Linked DNA regions of Macaca mulatta. The protein of the gene in region 4 interacts with the protein of the main gene of each other region in a pairwise test. Links are inferred from orthologs where the notes say so. Each region holds a gene or a part of one and is shown on either strand. Other genes may lie near its edges. The genes, in order: DMRTB1, FCHO1, BIRC2, EXOSC5 and TNFAIP1.

Evidence for each region.
Region 1: the proteins of EXOSC5 (region 4) and DMRTB1 interact in a two-hybrid assay, tested with the Homo sapiens proteins (2 studies listed by BioGRID). The link is inferred for Macaca mulatta from reciprocal best matches to the Homo sapiens genes EXOSC5 and DMRTB1.
Region 2: the proteins of EXOSC5 (region 4) and FCHO1 interact in binary tests that used the Homo sapiens proteins (3 or more experiments, as listed by UniProt). The two-hybrid records come from large-scale screens. The link is inferred for Macaca mulatta from reciprocal best matches to the Homo sapiens genes EXOSC5 and FCHO1.
Region 3: the proteins of EXOSC5 (region 4) and BIRC2 interact in binary tests that used the Homo sapiens proteins (3 or more experiments, as listed by UniProt). The two-hybrid records come from large-scale screens. The link is inferred for Macaca mulatta from reciprocal best matches to the Homo sapiens genes EXOSC5 and BIRC2.
Region 5: the proteins of EXOSC5 (region 4) and TNFAIP1 interact in binary tests that used the Homo sapiens proteins (3 or more experiments, as listed by UniProt). The two-hybrid records come from large-scale screens. The link is inferred for Macaca mulatta from reciprocal best matches to the Homo sapiens genes EXOSC5 and TNFAIP1.

Annotation. Positions count from the first base shown.
Region 1 is NC_133406.1:187,154,539-187,158,806, forward strand, and holds the start of DMRTB1 (doublesex- and mab-3-related transcription factor B1), read right to left. Parts: upstream 2,812-4,268; 5' UTR 2,717-2,811; coding exon 1,903-2,716; intron 157-1,902; coding exon 1-156.
Region 2 is NC_133424.1:18,278,239-18,281,753, reverse strand, and holds part of FCHO1 (F-BAR domain only protein 1), read right to left. Parts: intron 2,695-3,515; coding exon 2,596-2,694; intron 2,507-2,595; coding exon 2,410-2,506; intron 707-2,409; coding exon 662-706; coding exon of another isoform or gene 658-661; intron 549-657; coding exon 464-548; intron 1-463. UniProt on the Homo sapiens protein: Functions in an early step of clathrin-mediated endocytosis. Has both a membrane binding/bending activity and the ability to recruit proteins essential to the formation of functional clathrin-coated pits.
Region 3 is NC_133419.1:103,217,477-103,221,433, reverse strand, and holds the start of BIRC2 (baculoviral IAP repeat-containing protein 2), read right to left. Parts: upstream 2,809-3,957; 5' UTR 2,663-2,808; intron 2,646-2,662; exon of another isoform or gene 2,204-2,645; intron 1,437-2,203; 5' UTR 179-1,436; coding exon 1-178. UniProt on the Homo sapiens protein: Multi-functional protein which regulates not only caspases and apoptosis, but also modulates inflammatory signaling and immunity, mitogenic kinase signaling, and cell proliferation, as well as cell invasion and metastasis.
Region 4 is NC_133424.1:52,537,454-52,540,968, forward strand, and holds part of EXOSC5 (exosome complex component RRP46), read right to left. Parts: intron 2,073-3,515; coding exon 1,959-2,072; intron 764-1,958; coding exon 642-763; intron 1-641. UniProt on the Homo sapiens protein: Non-catalytic component of the RNA exosome complex which has 3'->5' exoribonuclease activity and participates in a multitude of cellular RNA processing and degradation events.
Region 5 is NC_133421.1:37,030,487-37,034,677, forward strand, and holds the start of TNFAIP1 (BTB/POZ domain-containing adapter for CUL3-mediated RhoA degradation protein 2), read left to right. Parts: upstream 1-1,391; 5' UTR 1,392-1,536; intron 1,537-4,191. UniProt on the Homo sapiens protein: Substrate-specific adapter of a BCR (BTB-CUL3-RBX1) E3 ubiquitin-protein ligase complex involved in regulation of cytoskeleton structure.

The DNA.
Region 1 (4,268 bases), on a different chromosome or scaffold from region 4:
ACTGGCTGCGGGACACATGCCGGAAGCCCTGCTGCAGGGGGACGCCAGGAGGGGCGTCCAGGTAGCCCAGCGGGAACGGGCAGTAGGGGTGCATGCTGGAGCCGCCAGGGTACTCAGGGCCCAGTGCACGGTCCGGGTTGATGCTCACAGGGCGCCCTGAAGAAGGCAAGCAAGGAGGGAAGTGTTAGACACCGCTGGGAAAAGCATCCGCAGCGTGGCACAGGCCGGCGGAGTCGTAAGCGCTGCTGTCCAAGCACAGAAAGCCCACCCCGCCCTTCCTTCCGCTGGGCCCTCACTGCATCTCCGTCCTCCAGCCAGCCCCGCTGCTCTTGGAGAGTCCTCGGCACGGCCATCAAGCCCGCTGTGGGCCCCCGGCCTGAGGCTCCCCGCTGCCCACACGCCGTCCGCCCACACTCTGCCTCTACGAGTCCTCCGTGCCAAGTTCCTCTTCCTCCGGGTCAACAGTGAACCCGGCCATGGCTCGAGCTCTGGACAGCGATTTGTGTGACTCTTCAATCAACCCTGTCCCTCCCACAAGGACAAGGTCCCTGAGGGTAAGAAATGTGACCCGCGTCCTTCATCACGAATGCCTGGCTCATAGTTCAGCCCAGCCCTGCTTGTCTGTTGAGATGGAACAAAGAAAGGCGGCTTCTCCTAGAATTGCGGTTTCAGACCTGTGACCCCATCAGATGGGGCGTTCCCTGGGGACCTAGATTTTCCTGGAAAGTCAGGAAGGCGGGACGAGCCTGCGGAAGCCTCTGGACCAATGCCCTGGCACACAGAGGGCAGGAGCTTGTCCAGCGTGACCCAGGCTCCCGCCTCGGCCTCAGCCCGTCCCACGACACCACCATGGGGAGACACCAGGAAAACACGTCCACACCAAACCCCGGGGCTTTTAAAGCTTCAAATGTACATGTGACTTGAAACTGTACTTCAATACCGAAAGCTCCAAGGCACAGGGAACAATGTAATTTATGTACCAGGTGAGGGGCAAAAAGAAAGGCAACATCTTTACAGACCAACTGTTCTCTTACGTGTAGTAAAGCAGCAGGCTCGGCTCACCCGCACGCGGGGAAAGGGAGGGAAGAGGTGCACAGGCGCACTGGTCCAGGGCCGTGCTGAGGGGAGGAGCCTCCCGACCGCGAACAGGGAAGGAAGAGGGCGCAGGCGCAGTCGTCCTTGCGCTAACCTGCCGGCAGGAAAATTCTCTTATTCTGGAGGAGGAGCCTCCAGCCCAAGGAAATGGCGGGAAGAGGTGCGCAAGCGCAGTAGGACTGGGCTCCTCGAGGCCTCTTCCCGGAGGAGGAAGCACTGCTAAGTCGACTGGACGCCATTTTGTTCTTGCATGCCAGAATGGCACAAACTACAGCTAAATGTTAAAAGCCCTTTGAGCCAAGCGCGGTGGCTCAAGCCTGTAATCCCAGCAGTTTGGGAGGCCGAGGCGGGTGGATCACGAGGTCAGGAGATCGAGACCATCCTGGCTAACATGGTGAAACCCCGTCTCTACTAAAAATACAAAAAACTAGCCGGGCGTGGTGGCGGGCGCCTGTAGTCCCACCTATTAGGAGGCTGAGGCAGGAGAATGGCGTGAACCCGGGAGGCGGAGCTTGCAGTGAGCCGAGATCGCGCCACTGCACTCCAGCCTGGGCGACACAGCGAGACTCCGTCTCAAAAAAAAAAAAAAAAAAAAGCCCCTCTGAACCGCCCATTCCCTTATGTTTCCTTTTTGCGAAAAGGTACCCAATCCAAATCCCCGTTCCAAGAAGGGTTTCTTAAAGCAGAAGGTACGTTACCCGTGGAAAGCATTCTCCCCACCCCAAAACCCCTATGCCAGCTGCCCATCCGGGCTGGCCTGTACTGCCAGCTCGGGGAGTCCACCGCGGGACTGAGGCCACGACTTACCAAAGTCGGTGAACGGCGGGCCAGGCACGGGCCGCAGCGGCCTGCGCAGGTCCAGGGGGCCGGGGTAGCCACTGCCTGTGGCCTCCGCCCCAAAAGGGGGTCCCGCAAGGCTGGGCATCGCCACGGCGGCTCGCTCGCTCGGCTCCACGTGGCCGCGGCCGCCCAGAACCGGTTGGAAGGCGCTCGGGCCGGGACTCCGGCCCCGCGGGGGCCGCTCGAAGAAGCAGGCGGCCGCGCGGCCCTCGGGTCCCGGCTCGGCGTCTCCGGAGGGAGTCCCCGGAGGCAGAGGGCGCAGGCTCCCGCCCGGGAGGGAAACGGGCGCGGCGGCCGCGGCCCCGGAGGCCTGCTCTGGACCCTGCGCACACAGGGCCGCCTCCTGCTCCTCCTCGGCGGCCTGCGTCTTGAGCACCTTCTGCGCGGCCATGATCTTCTGGCGCTCGGAGATCAGGTAGCACTTCTCACAGAGGCACTGCTTCCAGCGGCATTTGCCTGCGTGGCCCTTGACGGGCACCAGGAAGCCATGGTTCCTGCATCTCGAGCACTTAGGGGTGCGCACCATCTTGTCGGCCATTGGCAGGGTCAGCCTTCGTAGCACAACCACCACCTCTGGGAGCTGCAGAGCAAGTGGCGCTGGGATGAGCCGCGCCCCACAAGTCCCTGGTTCTGGGGACATTGGATACACTTGTAACAAAGCACCTCGCAGTGTGTCCCGGGAACTGCAGCAAGAACCTTGCATTTTCCCTCCTTTTGGGGGGTGCACAGTTTGGAGAGTTTCTGTGCTTTGGGTAATTAGATGCAATGGACTGGGTTGCATAAATTCTTAATGGGATTCTATTGCATGTATGTCATTTAGCTTATCTGAAGTCTTAGGCATGTAATTTTCCAAACTCTATTCCCGCCACCGACGGAAGGTATTTGTAACTTCAGGAAAGGCGGAGTGATATTCAACGGTCCACAGATTTAAAACTCGGGAGGAATGTAGCTTTCAGTGTAGAAAAGCACTGTAAGAGGCAAACCGTATTTCTCCTCCCTAAAGCTGCTGCTTCTGTGGCATTTCACTTCTCTGCCGTGCAGAGATGCTTCCAGGATATTCCAGAATATTTTCAAGAGCTCAGTGCAGTGTGATGGTTGCTCAAGGGTATGCCCTTGCAGTAATTCCCGTTTCTTGAGAGTCTTTGTGTAGAAATCCTCTTCTGGAGGATGGCACATTGCTGATGTTCATACCTTCCAAAGTAAGCATACTTAGAATATTTTAAAGTAAAATAGGCAGAATATTCTGGCACTAAGCCTGGCATAGTGTCCTGTGCCTGTAGCCCTAGCTGCTTGTGAGGATCACTTGAGCCCAGAAGTTGGAGACCAACATGAGCAACATAGCGAGACTCCTGTTTCTAAAAAATTAAATAAAACAAATTCTGCAAGACCCCTGTTTCTAAAAAATTAAATTAAAAAACTGTCTAGCACTAGCTTCAGTAATTGCTTAACCTCATCATGAATTTTGTTATCCTTATAAAACAACGCAAATATTGGGACATCTGAAAAGCTAACACAAACGTCATAGTTTACCCAAGGACATTAAGGTTTTTTTGTTTTGTTTTGTTTTGTTTTGTTTTTTGAGACAGAGTCTCACTCTGTCACCCAGGCTGTAGGGCAGTGGCGTCATCTCGGCCCACTGCAACCTCTGCCTCCCAGGTTCAAGCGATTCTCCTGCCTCAGCCTCCTGAGTAGCTTGGATTACAGTCACCCGCCACCATGCCCGGCTAATTTTTGTATTTTTAGTAGAGACGGGGTTTTCGCCATGTTGGCCAGGCTGGTCTTGAACTCCTAACCTCAGGTGATCCACCTGCCTGGGCCTCCCAAAGTGCTGGGATTACAGGTGTGAGCCACCGTGCCCAGCCATTAATTCATCTTTTAAAAACAAATTTGTGACACCCTGAGGCCTCTCTCTCTCTCTTTTCCCCCTACCTCCCCACTGCCTCCATTTTCCTCGCCTCCCCTCTCCTCCCTTCTTTGTCCTAAAAAAGGAAAAAATGGGTCACTAACAAGCCGAAAAGCTTCTAAGTAGATCAGTCACATTTAAGGAGGAGTTACAGTTAACAAGTGGCTAAGGCCGGGCACGGTGGCTCAAGCCTGTAATCCCAGCACTTTGGGAGGCCGAGACGGGCTGATCACGAGGTCAGGAGATTGGGACCATCCTGGCTAACACGGTGAAACCCCGTCTCTACTAAAAAAATACAAAAAAACTAGCCGGGCGAGGTGGCAGGCGCCTGTAGTCCCAGCTACTCGGGAGGCTGAAGCAGGAGAATGGCGTGAACCCGGGAAGCGGAACTTGCAGTGAGCTGAGATCCGGCCACTGCGCTCCAGCCTGG
Region 2 (3,515 bases), about 34 Mb from region 4:
CTGAGCTAGCCCTGGAGGCAGTGGGACCCTGAGGCTTGCTTGGGGAGGGGGTTGAATCTGAAGTTAGCTGAGTAGAGAGTGTTCTCAAACAGCCTGGGAGGGGAGGAATCCTGGAACTCATTTGAAGGGCTGCCTTGTGAAGGTAGGGAAAGTCGGGGCTAGCCTTGGCAAACAGAACAATCCTGGGCCAGCTCGGACAGGGGAAATGCTAGCTTACTCTGCGACAGGCAGTTCTTGGCCTAACCTGGCAAAAGGAAGAATTCTGGACTAGCTTGGGCAGCGGTAATATTGAGCTAGCCTGGGGCAGAGGCACTCCTGGTCTAGCTTGGGTGGAGGGAATCCTGGTCCAGCCTGGAATATGGATACTCCTGGGCTATCCTAGGAGGGGACTTCCGGGATAGCCTGGGCAGGGGAAGGGATCCCGGGCTAGCCTGGGCCAGACCGGGCAGGGGCGCTTTCTCACACAGCTGCAGGTGGCTCTGGCTCCCGCTCCCGCCGGCTTAATCCCGGAAGGCGAAAGGTCTTGGCTCCCCGCAAACGTTTCATCGCTGAGGATAGATTGGGGGGCAACTGAGCACTGGGAGGTGCCTTCTTTCACGTTCATATCAGCCTTCCTCACCCCCACGGTCCAGCCTGGGCATCCAGGCCCAGACGTACTTGCCTTCCTGCAGGGCAGCCGCGCTGTATGCCTCGAAGTCCAGAGGTCCTGAGACGGGAGACAGAAACTCAATTGCGGGGCTGGGCACAGTGGCCCGGGCCTGTATTCTCAGCACTTTGGGAGGCTGAGGCGGGTGGATCACCTGAGGTCAAGAGTTCGAGACGAGCCTGGCCAACATGGTGAAACCCTGTCTCTGCTAAAATTACAAAAAAATTAGCCGGACCTGGTGGCAGGTGCCTGTAATCCCAGCTATTCGGGAGGCTGAGGTGGGAGAATCGCTTGAACCTAGGAGGCGGAGGTTGCAGTGAGCCGAGATTGCACCACTGCACTCCAGCCTGGGTGACAGAGCAAACTCTGCCTCAAAAAAATTAAAAAAAAAAAAAAAAAAAAGAGAGAGAGAGAGAGAGAAACTAAACTGAGGGTGGGGAGACTGGGCTTCGAAAGAGTAGAACACTTTTGGCCACAAAATGGCACCTGGATCTGAACTCAAGGTCCATCAGGTTCCCAGACAAGAACCAGCCCCAGATCATCAGGAGTGGGATGGATCAAGGGGCTGGTCTGGTTCCAGCTGGTTAGTGCCACTGTAGGGGGTGACATGAGCTACTTCCACGTACTTCCAGCATTTGTGGCTGGAACTTGGGTTGGGTTGGGGGATGAACCATGCATGTGTGCAGTGGGCTGGGCTTTGAGTGACAGGATGAGGCGTGGGAACTCTCTCCCAAGAACAATGGGGAGCCATGGAAGGTGTGTGAGCAGGAGGAGGACACAACAGATCTGGGGCCTGTGAAAGGCAAGAGTGGGGCCCCATGCAGGGAGGGGTGACCTGAGCCAGGGCCGAGCCAGAGAGACAAGAGGGAGAAAGAACAGGTTTTGCTGGTTAACAAGACTTGAAGACATAACTGTATACCAGCATTTAGTGAGTGCCTACTGTGTGCCTGGCACACCCTTTGCCCTTTACCTGAATTAAATCACTGAACGTTACAACATTATTAACATCCTCACTTTACAGATGAGGAAACTGAGGCTCAGAGAAGTCAAAGCACAGGTCCTAAGTCACACAGCAAGTGATGAAGAAAAGACTCAAGCCCAGGTCTGACTCTAAAACTTTTGCTCTTAACTCCTCCCTAGTCCTGTATCTGAGCATTTGCAAATTGTTCTTTTGCTCAACAACCCTCAACGGCTCCCTTAGGCCCTGGGGGTGAAGTATGAACAGCTGAGCCTGGCACTCAAGGCTCCTGTGGGATCTGGTTCAAAGAGATTTACCCGTAAGATCAAGCTGGAGAGCTGGACTCGTCAGCATCCCATTTTTCCCACGAAGAAACCAAGGCCTGGCCATGAGCAGTGGCTCACGCCTGTAATTCCAGCACTTTGGGAGGCCGAGGCGGGGGGATCACCTGAGGTCAAGAGTTCAAGACCAGCCTGGCCAACATGGTGAACCCTCATCTCTATTAAAAATACACACAAAAAAATTAGCTGGGTGTGGTGGCACGTGCCTGTAGTCCCAGCTTCTCCGGGAGGCTGAGGCAGGAGAATAGCTTGAACCCGGAAGCAGCAGTTGCAGTGAGCCAAGATCGCACCACTGCACTGCAGCCTGGGCGACAGAGGCAGAGGGAGACTCCATCTCAAAAAAAAAAGAGAGAGAAAGAAAGAAACCAAGCCCCAGGGAGGTTCAGTCTCCTGCCTCTGGAGTCCTGCCCATCACCTGCAGCTGTGGCACTAAAGCCCGACCCCTGATGGCTGCCCTGACTCACCTGGCTTCTCCTGGCCTGTGCCCTTACTCTCTGCAAACTTCCTGAGTAGCATCTCCACGCTGACGTTCTCGATGTTCTGCTTAAATTCCTCATGCACCTGTGCCAGGTGGGCGGGGTGTGAAACTGGTCAAGGCCCCTTTGCCCAACAGTGACCCCAGCCTCATTCCTCACACCTGCCCAACTCACCTGCCCGATCTGCACGTGCGTGTCCTCCACGGAGTGAGCATAGGAGCCCAGCAACGCCTTCATGTGCCTCAGGTGTGTCTCCTCCATGGCTTGGAAGCGCTGAAGCAGGACGGGAGAGGCAGGTGGAAAGAATGTCAGGGCCAAGAAGGAGTGGCCATGTGACTCAGCCTGACCAATCAGAACACCCTAAGCCCTTGGCTCACTGATTGATTTGGGGAAGGGCCAATGATAGTCTGCCCTAGGACTTTCTCTGAATCAACAGAAAAAGACACTTCCATTTCTGAACTAATGAGTGGATAGGATGTAAGTGGGAGTTGTTGGGGCCCACTTTGATGCACACATGTGCATGCATACACACACACACACACACGGGCACGTCTGCCTGGGAGTGATGTCCCCAGAGAGGAAAATAGACTTAAGAAGCAGAAATGGTGGTCGGGTGTGGTGTTTTACGCCTGTAATCCCAGCACTTTGGGAGACCAAGGTAGGCGGATCATCTGAGGTCAGGAGTTCAAGACTAGTCTGGGCAACATGGTGAAACCCTGTCTCTACTAAAATACAAAAATTAGCTGGGTGTGGTGGCACGTGCCTGTAATCCCAACTACTACTAGGGAAGCAGAGGCAGGAGAATCACTTGAGCCCAGGAGGCAGAGGTTGCAGCGAGCCGAGACTGTGGCACTGCACTCTAGCCTGGGCGACAGAGAGACTCCATCTCAAAAAAAAAAAAAAAAAAAAAGCAGAAATGCACAATTTCCTGCCAGCACTATTTGAGCACCTGGATTCAGCTATAACTGAAACCTCCACAACTCAAAAATAAAACTTTTCAGTTCCCTGAGCATGTCAGTTTTTTAAAATTTTATTTTGGTTTGTTCTTTTTTTTTTTTTTTTTTCTCTGAGACAGAGTCTTGCTCTGTCGCCCA
Region 3 (3,957 bases), on a different chromosome or scaffold from region 4:
CGCCGGTGGGGAAAGTTGAATATGTAGACATTCTGTAGAGTTCACAGGAAAAGTCATACTTCATTTTTTGTTTGTTGCTGTTTGTCCAATCTGACAAGATCGTGCTATCTTCCATTATACTCTTAATGTTTTGATACGAGGGACCTGGGAAAAGTCTTTGGGAGGCAGTTTTGTGCATGAGTAGGTGACAGTACTGTTTGATAGCTAAAACAGTCACATGAAATTTCTTCACACAAAATAAGATTTTTACCACAAAAAGAAATCAATGATAGACTCTTACGTAGAATTCACTACACTTTCTTTACTGGATTTATCTCAGTTTATATTCAGGTAGGATGAGTCTCTCTCTGAATTACCAAGATACTACTTGGAACACAAGTCTTTGGGGTTGTAGTAACTCTTTTAAGTAATCTAAGTGCTATTTGTTCATAATCTTGAGTAATACTAACCTAAAGCCCTGAGAGGTGGATGCCCTTTTGAAAATGTTGAAACTCCTTGATTTTTCACAGAGATTTATATTCTCAAAATTCTAAGCAACTACAGAATACCTAAATTACTCCTTTTATTTATATTTGGTTACAAGCTATGAAGCCTGGGTAACAGATCAATTACTGATTATGCCACAAGGTAAAAAATTACATGCAGGCTTCTTTCCCTATAAGCACTTTAATATAATGTCCCCAAAAAATCTCATTTTATTCCAATAAACAAAAGTAATTAAAATCTTCATATGGTCACACTATTTAAAGGCTAAGTTCACACAGCTTATCACCATAGTATTTACATAAGCGGGCTATATTACTTCAGCTGACAACTTTTGGGGAAGTCAACACCCACAAGCTTTGTTGAACCTGTGCCTGTTATAGTGTTTGATGTCAAATGAATTTGGCTTAAAGTTCACAAACTATAAACTCTTCTATCTTTGTTAAATATCATTTGTATTTGTTTCTATTTCCTGCAGCATGTTGACTTTCTTCCTAACTTTGTATACCACTTTATTATTCTTGATCAACTGAAGGTATTTTCTCCATAAACTTAATTAGTTAGCCATAAAATTTCCACAGCACACTTTTCACACTGCATTTAAAAACTAAATAACCTGTTCATCATTTAAGGACTATTCAGCTATAATTATCAGTCATGCTGTAAACATTAATCAATTTGTCACAAGACACAACTTGTCCTTTCTAGTGTTATCAGAAACGCCTAACAAAATACTGTATTACCAAAAAAGTACTGCTTAGCATAACGTATCAGTAATCAACTCTACTAGCCTTCTTTCTGAAAACTCTTCAATGTTTTAAAAATATAATTCATACACAAAATTACACTCCATAGAATTCAAACTATATCCCTTTATAAAGCTTCGAGATCTCCAAAATGGGATTTATTACTGCAAGGGGAAAGGGAGAGGAGGATTCTTCAGGGCTGTAAATCTGAAAAGAAAAAACAAAAGGTATTTTAGAAAACCGTATTTGCATGCCAAATAGAACTTACATACTCTTCAATTTATTCACTAAAGTCTAAGAATAATTTACATTTTAGATAACACATCTTAATTTCCAGCAATTTGTCACAACTTTCTAACTGAAAAAGCTCTTAATTAAAATAAATAAATGCAACATACTCCCATAGCACTAACTATACGTGTCTTTAAAAAGCACAACTTTAGAGACAGATGGAAATTTTCACACAGGAAAACATTTTGTCCTTGCTCTCCTCCCCTTTTCTGACCTAAAGGTATCTTTGGCACTCTGCTGGAGGCAAAGGAACATTGGTGAAAAAGGCAGAGAGAGCGACAAGGTACTCCACTAAACCCTGTCAACAGCAGTACAGCAGTAATCAGACAGCAACGTTAGTTTGTAATATCAAGTCTCTCCGCGACTAGGAAAACTGCAGTAAAATGTACCACGAGTTCATTAATATAAACCCTTAAACTCTGCCAATCCCTTACAATTTCAAAGCAACGACGGTAGAAAACAACCGAAAACAAAACCTAACACAGCGGCCTGTGAAACAGTGGCCTGACGCCCACTGGCATGATTGCTTTAATTACACGCGATTTTTTATATACTATCTTTAAACGAAAGACTTTTATCTGCGAGCACCGTACTGCAGCATTCTCTTTATGCAAACTGCAGCTGGACAGGGGATAGGATGGAAGAGAAAAGAATAGAAACTATGGGATTTACCCAATAATTACCCAGAGTTGTTTCTCACAATACACAACAGACTACTGGAATGACAGAGCGCAGTGGCAACTATGAAATATGAAATATCACCGCCACCGAAATATCTTCGTTTCAATGTATTACATTAAAAGAACGCCGAGGGCTGTTTAAAACCTTGCAAAAACTGCGAGAAAACATCTTGGTCAAAGTCCAAGGGCCAGAAGAGTGGGCGGCGGCCAGAGGAGGTTTGAAAACAAGTCATATTTTAAAAACGGCTTTGACTGCAAGTCTTGAAGTTTGGGCTTCCGAATCCAATAAAACCTTGGCGAGAGTAGAAAGCAGAGAGCCCCCGGCGACCCTCGACCCTTGGCCGAAGGGCCTCTGGCCCCTTCCTTCCTCGCCCGGCCGCCACATCAGGGAAGTGGGCCCCCGCGGGCCCGCGCGTCCCCACCCTCCCCGCGCCGCCCGAGTCCGGAAGGAGCAGCACTCACCGCAGTGCGGGCGCAGCAAACAAGGAAGCTGCGCGGCAGCCTAGAGGCCTCCCCAGAGCCGGGAAGCGGCGGTACCGACAAGGAGACACGGCCGCCTCGGCTCGGGTCAGCTCCGGCGCTCCCGAAGCCCGCCGCCCCATCCGGGCTCACGCCGACGCACGATGACGTCAGCGCGCCCGGCCGGAGACTCGCGTTGGCAGCCGCGCGAGGGCGCCCGGGAGGCTGGGGCCGGAAAGCGAAACCGAGCGCACTTGCGGCCGTGGGGCGACTAACCGCCGGGAAAGACGCTGGGAGGCTCAGGGACCCCCGGCGCAACTGGACGCCCATCGGGAGTCGCGGGGTCGGCCCTTAGGGGAACGGGGACTATCCGTATCAACTCGGTGTTTGTTCGTTTTCTTCACCTTGCAGTTTGTGCCCCCTCCACGTTTCCTCTCTCTCTGTGCCTACCATTCTCCTGGGGGACGTGGCAAACCGTGAGCCGCTGCGTTTGACTCTTGGGAAACCCTGCGGAAACGCCCTGGCGCCGGTGGTTTTGCGCGTCTACCCTGTGTCACCTCAGGGTTATGATCTGGCCCCTGGCAAGGCTCCCCTAGTGTGATGCCTCCCCCGTCGAGATGACTGCATTTTGAGGATGGAGTCAGTCTGATGGCATTTTTTGCTCAAGTAAACAGTTGTAACCGTTTGTGTAGCATCAGCGTTCAACAGCTGTTTGTGCAAATCGAAAAAAGCGAAGCGTTGGAAAGTAGGAAGCATCTGATGAATAATTTTGACTCGATGAGTTTTACAATCAACTAGGTTATCTTGTTTTTAAACTTTTGGTTTTCTGTTCTGGAGACAAACAGTGCATATGCACTAAAGACAAAAGTGTCATTATTTCAGATGCTCATTGCCAGCAACGGGAACGGTATTGCAAGTCAGGCTTCACTCCCAGTATTTTCTGAATGTTTCAATAAAATGAAATATATACGTCCGCCTGTGTATTGGTGTACATGCACATATAATTGTACATAAACCACAGAGAAGCCCAAGGTTGTTTTTTTTTTTAATGCTTAGGTAATAGAAAATTTGTAAACAAACACCCTTGGCTTTTACTAGTGATGGACCTTTTGTATCCCTCCGCCATACTCCCCCAGTAGTGCCATAGACACAGTGGCATGCAGTAAATGTTTGTGCTATGACAGCCAACGAATGACTTTTGAAGTTGACGCTCTTTGCCCATTGAATCCAATGCTTGCTTCTCTCTGGGGAACTCCAAGGGGCAAATATTTTAAAAACTTCCAAATAGCGAACCACTT
Region 4 (3,515 bases):
CTAAAAATACAAAAATTAGCCTGCTGTGATGGCGGGCACCTGTAACTCCAGCTACTCAGGAGGCTAAAGCATGGGAATCGCTTGAGCCCGGGAGGCAGAGGTTGCAGTAAGCTGACACTGCACCACTGCACTCCAGCCTGGGCGACAGAGTGAGCCTGTCTCAAAAACAAACAAACAAAGAAAAAACCAAAAACACAAAAGTGATTGGCACAGGCTCTGGAGTCAGACGGGCCTGGGCTTGAGTCCCGCCTGTGCGGCCTTCCAGCTGTGTGACCTTGGGCAAGCCCCTTCCCCTCTCTGGGCCTCAGTTTTGTCACCTAAAACATGCGAACATAAGAACACTCATCTGCCAGGGTCCTTGGGCTCTAGAACTAGACGGTCTGGGTCTAAGTCTTGGCTTTGCCACTTCCATGGGGATCATTAAGGGCATGTGCTATATTAAATGAGTTAATGTGTGTAAGGCACACAGAACAGTGCCTGCCACATAAGTAAGCACCCAGGGTGTTTGCTCTCCTTCTTCAGTGAGCTGGTACCTGTTAAGTGTTTGAAGTTTTTCTGGCTAGCAGACAGCATATATATAGCCACCAGAAGGGAAGCAATCAGGAGACTTCCTGGAGGAGGAGGCCTGGGAGAAAGGATACAGAGCCAGCATCGCTGACAACCTGCAGCACCACAGTGATGGAGGTGCGGGGGTGCAATGTGCCCAGGACCACCGCCTCGCACGTGTTCCTGATCAGCCGCTCCCGGCTCTTCTCTGCAACACCTGGGGAAATTGAAGAGCGGTTGTCAGGGTCTTCCCCTTCATGTGGCTCACCTTCCTCCATACGCCCCACCCAAACCCCTGGAAAGGGCCCACAGTCTCAGCCTGGGATGGTGCAGGTACCTGGGATGATGGAAGATTCCAGTAGGAAGAAGGCAAGGCCTGACTGCTGTCCACCGACCCCTGCTACCTCCAGCATCCACCAAAGGAACCATCCAGGGGAAGAAGACCTGGGAGTTCCATGTCTATGCTGCTACCCACGCCCACTCCCACCCTAGTAGGCCCAGCCAGTGGGGATTGAAGGATATGAGGGTAAAAGGGTGGAAAAACAGGTTAATGGGCCAGGCACAGGGGCTCATGTCTGTAATCCCAACACTTTGGGAGGATGAGGCGGGTGGATCACTTGAGGTCAGGAGTTTGACACCACCCTGACCAACATGGTGAAACGTTGTCTCTACTAAAAATACAAAAATTAGCCAGGCGTGACGGCTAACGCCTGTAATTCCAGCTACTCGGGAGGCTGAGACAGGAGAATTGCTTGAACCTGGGAGGCGGAGGTTGCAGTGAGCCGAGATCAAGCCACTGCACTCCAGCCTGGGCAACAGAGGGAGACTCCGTCTTAAAAATATGAAATTAAAATTTTTAAAAAATGGCTAAGCGCAGTGGCTTATGCCTGTAATCCCAGCACTTTGGGAGGCCAAGGTGGGCGGATCACGAGGTCAGAAGATCAAGACCATCCTAGCCAACATGGTGAAACCCCATCTCTATTAAAAAAATACAAAAAATTAGTGGGCATGGTGGCGTGCCCACCTCAACTCGAGAGGTTGAGGCAGGGGAATTGCTTGAACCCAGGAGGCAGAGGTTGCGGTTAGCCAAGATCGCGCCACTGCACTCCAGCCTGGGTGACAGAGTGAGACACCATCTCAAAATAAATAAATAAATAAATAAATAAATGAAAAGAAAAACAGGTTAATGGAATGAATGAGTGGAGGCAGAGAGAGGGAGAAAGAAGGAGGGAGAAATTAGAGGCAGAGAGAGAAGCAACAGAAGATGAGATACAGGGCAGAGAGTTAAAGACAGAAACAGCTGAGTGGGGACCAAAGCGGGGAGTGGAGACTCGGGGCAGCTGGTAGGGAAGAGCTGGGGGCCGGTTATGACAAACTGGGCACTATTCAGAGGTTCAGCAGGGCCCAATTACCAGGCAGCCCGATCTTCGGCCTCAGGATCACTTCGAGTGTGGCCTTGTTGAAGATCTCTTTGCTGACCTTCACCTCGGCCGGACCGTACACACCCGCCAGGACAGAGGTGTCACCTGAGGAGACAGCAGGGCGGGAGGGCCTCACTCACAGCTTCCCTGCTCCTGGGGCCCCATTCGTGGCACTGAGCATGATGGCCAGGGCTCCCCATGTCACCCCCGCCATTTGTTGGCAGTGATTCTTTGAGTACTCACTTCATTTCTCTGCCTGCGTATCCTCATTTGTAATATGGGGAAAATAGCAGTCGCTCCCCGCTAGCGTCTTGTGAGGATCAAAGGACACAATTCAAAGAGAACACTTAGAACACTGCGGGGCTCATGCTGAGTGCGCAACAGACTTTAGCTGATATTATTAACATTCATCCATTCATCCATTCAGGCATTCAGGCAGGGTCTCACTCTCATTGCCCAGGCTGGAGTGCAGTGGTGCCATCACAGCTCATTGCAGCCTCAACCTTCTGGGCTCAAGCGATCCTCCTGCCTCAGCCTCTCAAGTAGCTGGAACTCCAGGCACGTGCCACCATGCCTGGGTAATTTTTGTATTTTTAGTGAAGAGGGGATTTTGCCATGTTGCTCAGGCAGGTTGCGAACTCCTGGGCAACTGTAATCCCAAGGTGCTAGGATTACAGGTGTGAGCCACCATGCCTAGCCCTGATATTAGTAACTTTCTTTTTTTTTGAGATGGAGTCTCGCTCTGTTGCTCAGGCTGGAGTGCAGTGGCGTGATCTCGGCTCACTGCAACCTCTGCCTCCCGGGTTCAAGCAGTTCTCCTGCCTCAGCCTACTGAGTAGCTGGGATTACAGGTTCAAGTCACCATGCCCAGTTAATTTTTTTATTTTTAGCAGAGACTGGGTTTCACCATGTTGGTTAGGCTGGTCTCGAACTCCTGACCTCATGATCTGCCCGCCTCGGCCTCCCAAAGTGCTGGGATTACAGACATGAGCCACCATGCCCGGCCACTATTAGTAACTTTTAACAGGAAGTTCTTCCTGAAAGCTAACCATCCTCCCTCTTACTGTCACTGCTCTCAACTTCTCTTTGCAAAGGTTCCCCAGCCCAGCTCTTCCCTTAGGCACTGGTCCCCAAATTCTGCACCAGTCCAGTCTGGACACCTGAGAAAGGAATAATATCTGGAATGAATCCTGATTCCTGCTTATTTCCCCAGAAGCTATAAATGGGGTACAGGAGGTAAGACCGAAGAAATAAATAGCCTGGCTTCTAGTACTGTCTGCTGTAATCCCAGCACTTTGGGAGGCTGAGGTGGGTGGATCACCTGCGGTCAGGAGTTTGAGACCATCCTGGCCAACATGGTGAAACCCCATCTCTACTAAAAATACAAAAATTGGCTGGGCATGGTGGTGGGTGCCTGTAATCTCAGCTACTCGGGAGGCCGAGGCAGAATTGCTGGAACCGGGGAGGCGGAGGTTGCAGTGAGCCGAGATGGCACCATTCCACTCCAGCCTGGACAATAACAGCGAGACTCCGTCTCAAAAAAAAAAA
Region 5 (4,191 bases), on a different chromosome or scaffold from region 4:
AAGTGAAAGGGAAGCAAGGCATTGCAGGCAGAAGGAAACACATACGTGAAGATCCTGAGGCAACAGGAAATTTGATGCATTCCGAGAACTGAGACTGAGCAAGAGAAGGGAACAGAATGAGGCTAGACAGGGAGGCAACAGCTGGATCACGGAAGGCTCTGAAAGACACAGTAATGAGCTTGGATTTTATCAGAAGGGTAATGGGCAGCCAGAGAGTTCTCAGCAAACCAACAAAATCAGACTTAGATCATTCTTGCTTAGCCTGGAGAACGGATTGGAGGGAACAAGAAAGGGCAAGGCCCCAACTACCTTCTTGTTCACCACTCTAACCCTAGCACCTAGCATGGTGCCCACACATAACTGGCACTCAGTAAATGCGGAATGAATGACCGTGGAAACAGGAGACCATTACAGTAACCAAGGCTGGCAGCTGAAGACAAGTGCTCCGAGTTGAGATGTTTTGTAAGTCGAGGTGATTGGGGCTTAGTAATGGACTGACTGAATGTGGCGGTTTTGGGATAAGAGAAAAACAAGTCAGGCATGACTCCCATGAATCTGGCTTGGCCCACCTATCTGATTGGAGGGGCTGGCTTAAAGAGATAGGTAAGATGGAAGAAGGGGTGCAGGGAAAGAGTTCACAGATTCTCTACCAACTCCCATCACACGCGTGTCTGAGCATCTGAGCAACACCTGGCCCAAGAGCTGGGACTAAGCTCCCTGAGCATGACGCGGTGGCATAATTTGTGTGGCCAGGCTCTCCCAGATGCATGCGAGGCACTGCGAGCAGACTCTTTACTATGTAAATTCCCCGAATTTATCCGAGCCCCAGTTTCCTCGTAAGATCGTGGCAAGCATCAACGCGTCAAACTCCAGGCCTAACCTGGGTGTGAAAGCGCCCCCTGAGAGTGGGGCGGAATTCCCACGTCTCTCTCCGCCCGGGCTCTTTCCTCAGGACGCGGGCCTGTCAGGCTCCTCTCGCCCCTGGTCCGCCCGCATCCCCCGACCCGAGGTCAGCCTACCTGCCGGCCCCGCGGCGGCAGCGCGCTGCAGCCTAGGCTGATGTAGACAGGCAGCTTCTCCCGGGTCAGCGGCAGCCGGTACCCAGTCAGCCTGCCACGGCCGCTGCCACGGCTACAGAACCTGTTTACCCATGACGTCACTACCTTCCTGACCCCGGAAGCACTTACAGCCCCGAATCCACAGAGGTTGCTGGGAAACAGAGGCCCGAGGGGAGGTCGGGCCTACAAGACCCAGAAGCCTTAGCGCCGGCAAGGCGACCGGAAGTGGCTTTCCTCTCTCCGCGAAGACCCTCGGGGGATTCCGCCTCCACCCTTTCCCGGATAGAGCGCTATGCATGCAGGGACTTGTAGTCTCAGGCTCCCCGACCGGTGGGGCTGGGCCGCACTCCGGGCGGAGTCGGCGAGCGCAGGATGTGAGCTCACAGCCCGGGACTGCTGGTGGGCAGGCGGCTGCAGGCTAGGGGCGGCTCGGAGTCCGCTGGCCACCCAGCTGAGAGGAGAGGCGCCCCCGGGGACGGTGAGAGCCGGGCCCGCAGATGCCCTCGGGGAAGGGATGGACGGCCCCTGCTGGAGTATAGCGAGCCCGGCCGGGTCCTGGGGAAAAGGCGCGGGCGGCGTTGGGGAAAAGGAGAGCTCTGATCTCCCACGGAGGGTGGGCGTGAGAATCGGTGTGGGTTTCTCGGTAGTGAGGAGTGGCCCGGGCTAGAGAAGAGCCCACACCGGCCACATTTCCCAGGATTTTTTGGGTGACGCTTAACCTTTACACCTAGGGTTTCTGCTAGATCCGCCCACTCTAGCCCTCAGCTTTCCCCGCGCCGTCCTCCGTGTCTGACGGATTTCTGGGTCCTTCTTCCTTTTAGACCTCTCCTCTTTCTACAGCCGCGGCTGTTTGCCCTTTGTTCTGCTTGGGTTCCCATTAGCTTCGTTGCGTGAGCCATGGATCCGCCCCTAGCCCCAGGCATCCCCAAATATCCACACACAAAGTGCGGAAGGAAGAGCACTGTGGCTATCAGTGGAAACTTCATTCTCACTGGAATTACTTTCTGGGGCGTCACCTGCCACAGGATTCCTGGAACCCATTGGTCTGGGCGGAATCTGATTGACGTCATCCAGGGGCTCAAAGCAATTGCTTTGTAGGAAAGGAATAGATTAACTCTGGATCCGCCGACCTCTCTTGGCAGGCCTATCCTTTGAGCTCCTTTGCATTGACAGAACATGTATGTATGCTTTCTTTGATCCTGGGAAAACTAGGGCTAGACACAAAATACATAGGGAACTTGCTAATGCCTGTTAGGGAGGTGGATTTATTCCTTTGAGGTGGGCGGAAGAAGGGAAGGTGATCTCATACCATTCTAGTGTTTCTTAGTCATTGGCAGCCTCCTGGTGAGGGTTCACCTCCCATACCCAACCTCTGTGGCAAAGGAAAGAGTCTCCCAGACAAGCCGCCAAAGGAATTCACTGCTTCACACAGCACCCACGCTGGCCGTCCACTTCCTTGGACATTCTTCCCAGGGACTTACCTAAATCTTTTCAGGGACAATTTCAATCCAACAAACTGACATATGTTAAATACTTAAAATGTGCATGGCATTGTGCTAAGCACCATTAGGGGAACACAGCAGTAAACTTAGGAAACCAGTGCCCTGCTTCTGGGTTGCACTTACAAGAGAGGAGCAACTGTAAACTCCTGCATGTAATGAGCATTCGGTGAAATCATTCCACTTTTTTTCTGTCTCCGTTATTACTAACGTGGTCCAGGCCCGCCGTCATCTCTTCTTGCCTAGACTACAGTTTCCTCTGGTCTTCCCACTTCCTCTCTTGCACCTTTACAATTCATTCTCTACCCAGCAGCCGTTATCTTTTCAAAATACACTACAAGCAAGTCAGATCATATCACTCCTCTGCTTGCAACTCTCCAATTGATTCATATATTATATAGCAATAGGCCGGGCGCGGTAGCTCACGCCTATAATCCCAGCACTTTGGGAGGCCAAGGCGGGCGGATCATCCGAGGTCGGGAGTTCAAGACCAGTCTGACTAACATGGAGAAACCCCATGTCTACTAAAAATACAAAATTAGCTGGGCATGGTGGTGCATGCGTGTAATCCCAGCTACTCAGGGAGGCTGAGGCAGGAGAATAGCTTGAACCTGGGAGGCGGAGGTTGCAGTGAGCCGAGATCGTGGCACTGCACTCCAGCCTGGGCAACAAGAGTGAAACTCTGTTTCAAAAAAAAAAAAAAAAAATATATATATATATATATATATATATGTAATAGCAATTAGTATGAAATCCACACTTTGTTATCATCTAACACCTGCCTTCCCTGACTTGACATCAAACCAACTTCCCCCTACTGTCTGTGCACCAGCCATTATGACCTTATTTCTGATCCTAAAACTTGTTTTTATTTTGTTGTTGTTGAGACGAGATTTCCCTGTCACCCAGGCTGACCTGCCCAGACTCAAGCAATCATCCCACCTCAGCCTCCCAAGCAGCTGGGACCACAGGCATGAGCCACCATATCTGGCTAATTTTTTTTCATTTGTAGAGACAAACTCTCACTGTTGCCCAGACTGGTCTTGAACTCCTGAGCTCAAGCAATCCACCCACTTCAGCCTCCTAAAGTGCTGGGATTACGGGTGTGAGCCACCACACTCGGCCCCTAAAACTTGTTTCTAACAGGAACTTTGCACTTACTCTTCCATCTGTGTAGAATGCTCTCTTCAAACCTCAGCTGAAATTCACCTTCCCAAAGATGCTTACCCTGTCCCTCTGTCTAAATTAGTGCCTCTCCCTAATCACTCTCATGTCAGTTTTATTATCTTTATTGCATTTATCAGGTTCTGGAATTATCTGTTTATTTATTCAAGTCCTTGTTTATAGTCTATTTCCTTCCACTAGAATGTAAGCTCCATGTGGACATGACTTTCTATATTTGTTCTCTTCTGAGTACCCAGTGCCTGGCACACAGGGGTACAATAAATGCTAGCTCTCTCTCTTTTTAAAAATTCCTGTTATGATGCTCCTTTGAACTGTTTGAAGGCAAAGACAATGTTTTTTCATTGTTCCCTATTGCTTAACATAGTAGGCACTCAGTAGTTTAATTGCTGAATTAGTTAAATGAGCTAATATATATTAAATGCCAAGAGATGGGGTCTTGCTATGTTGCC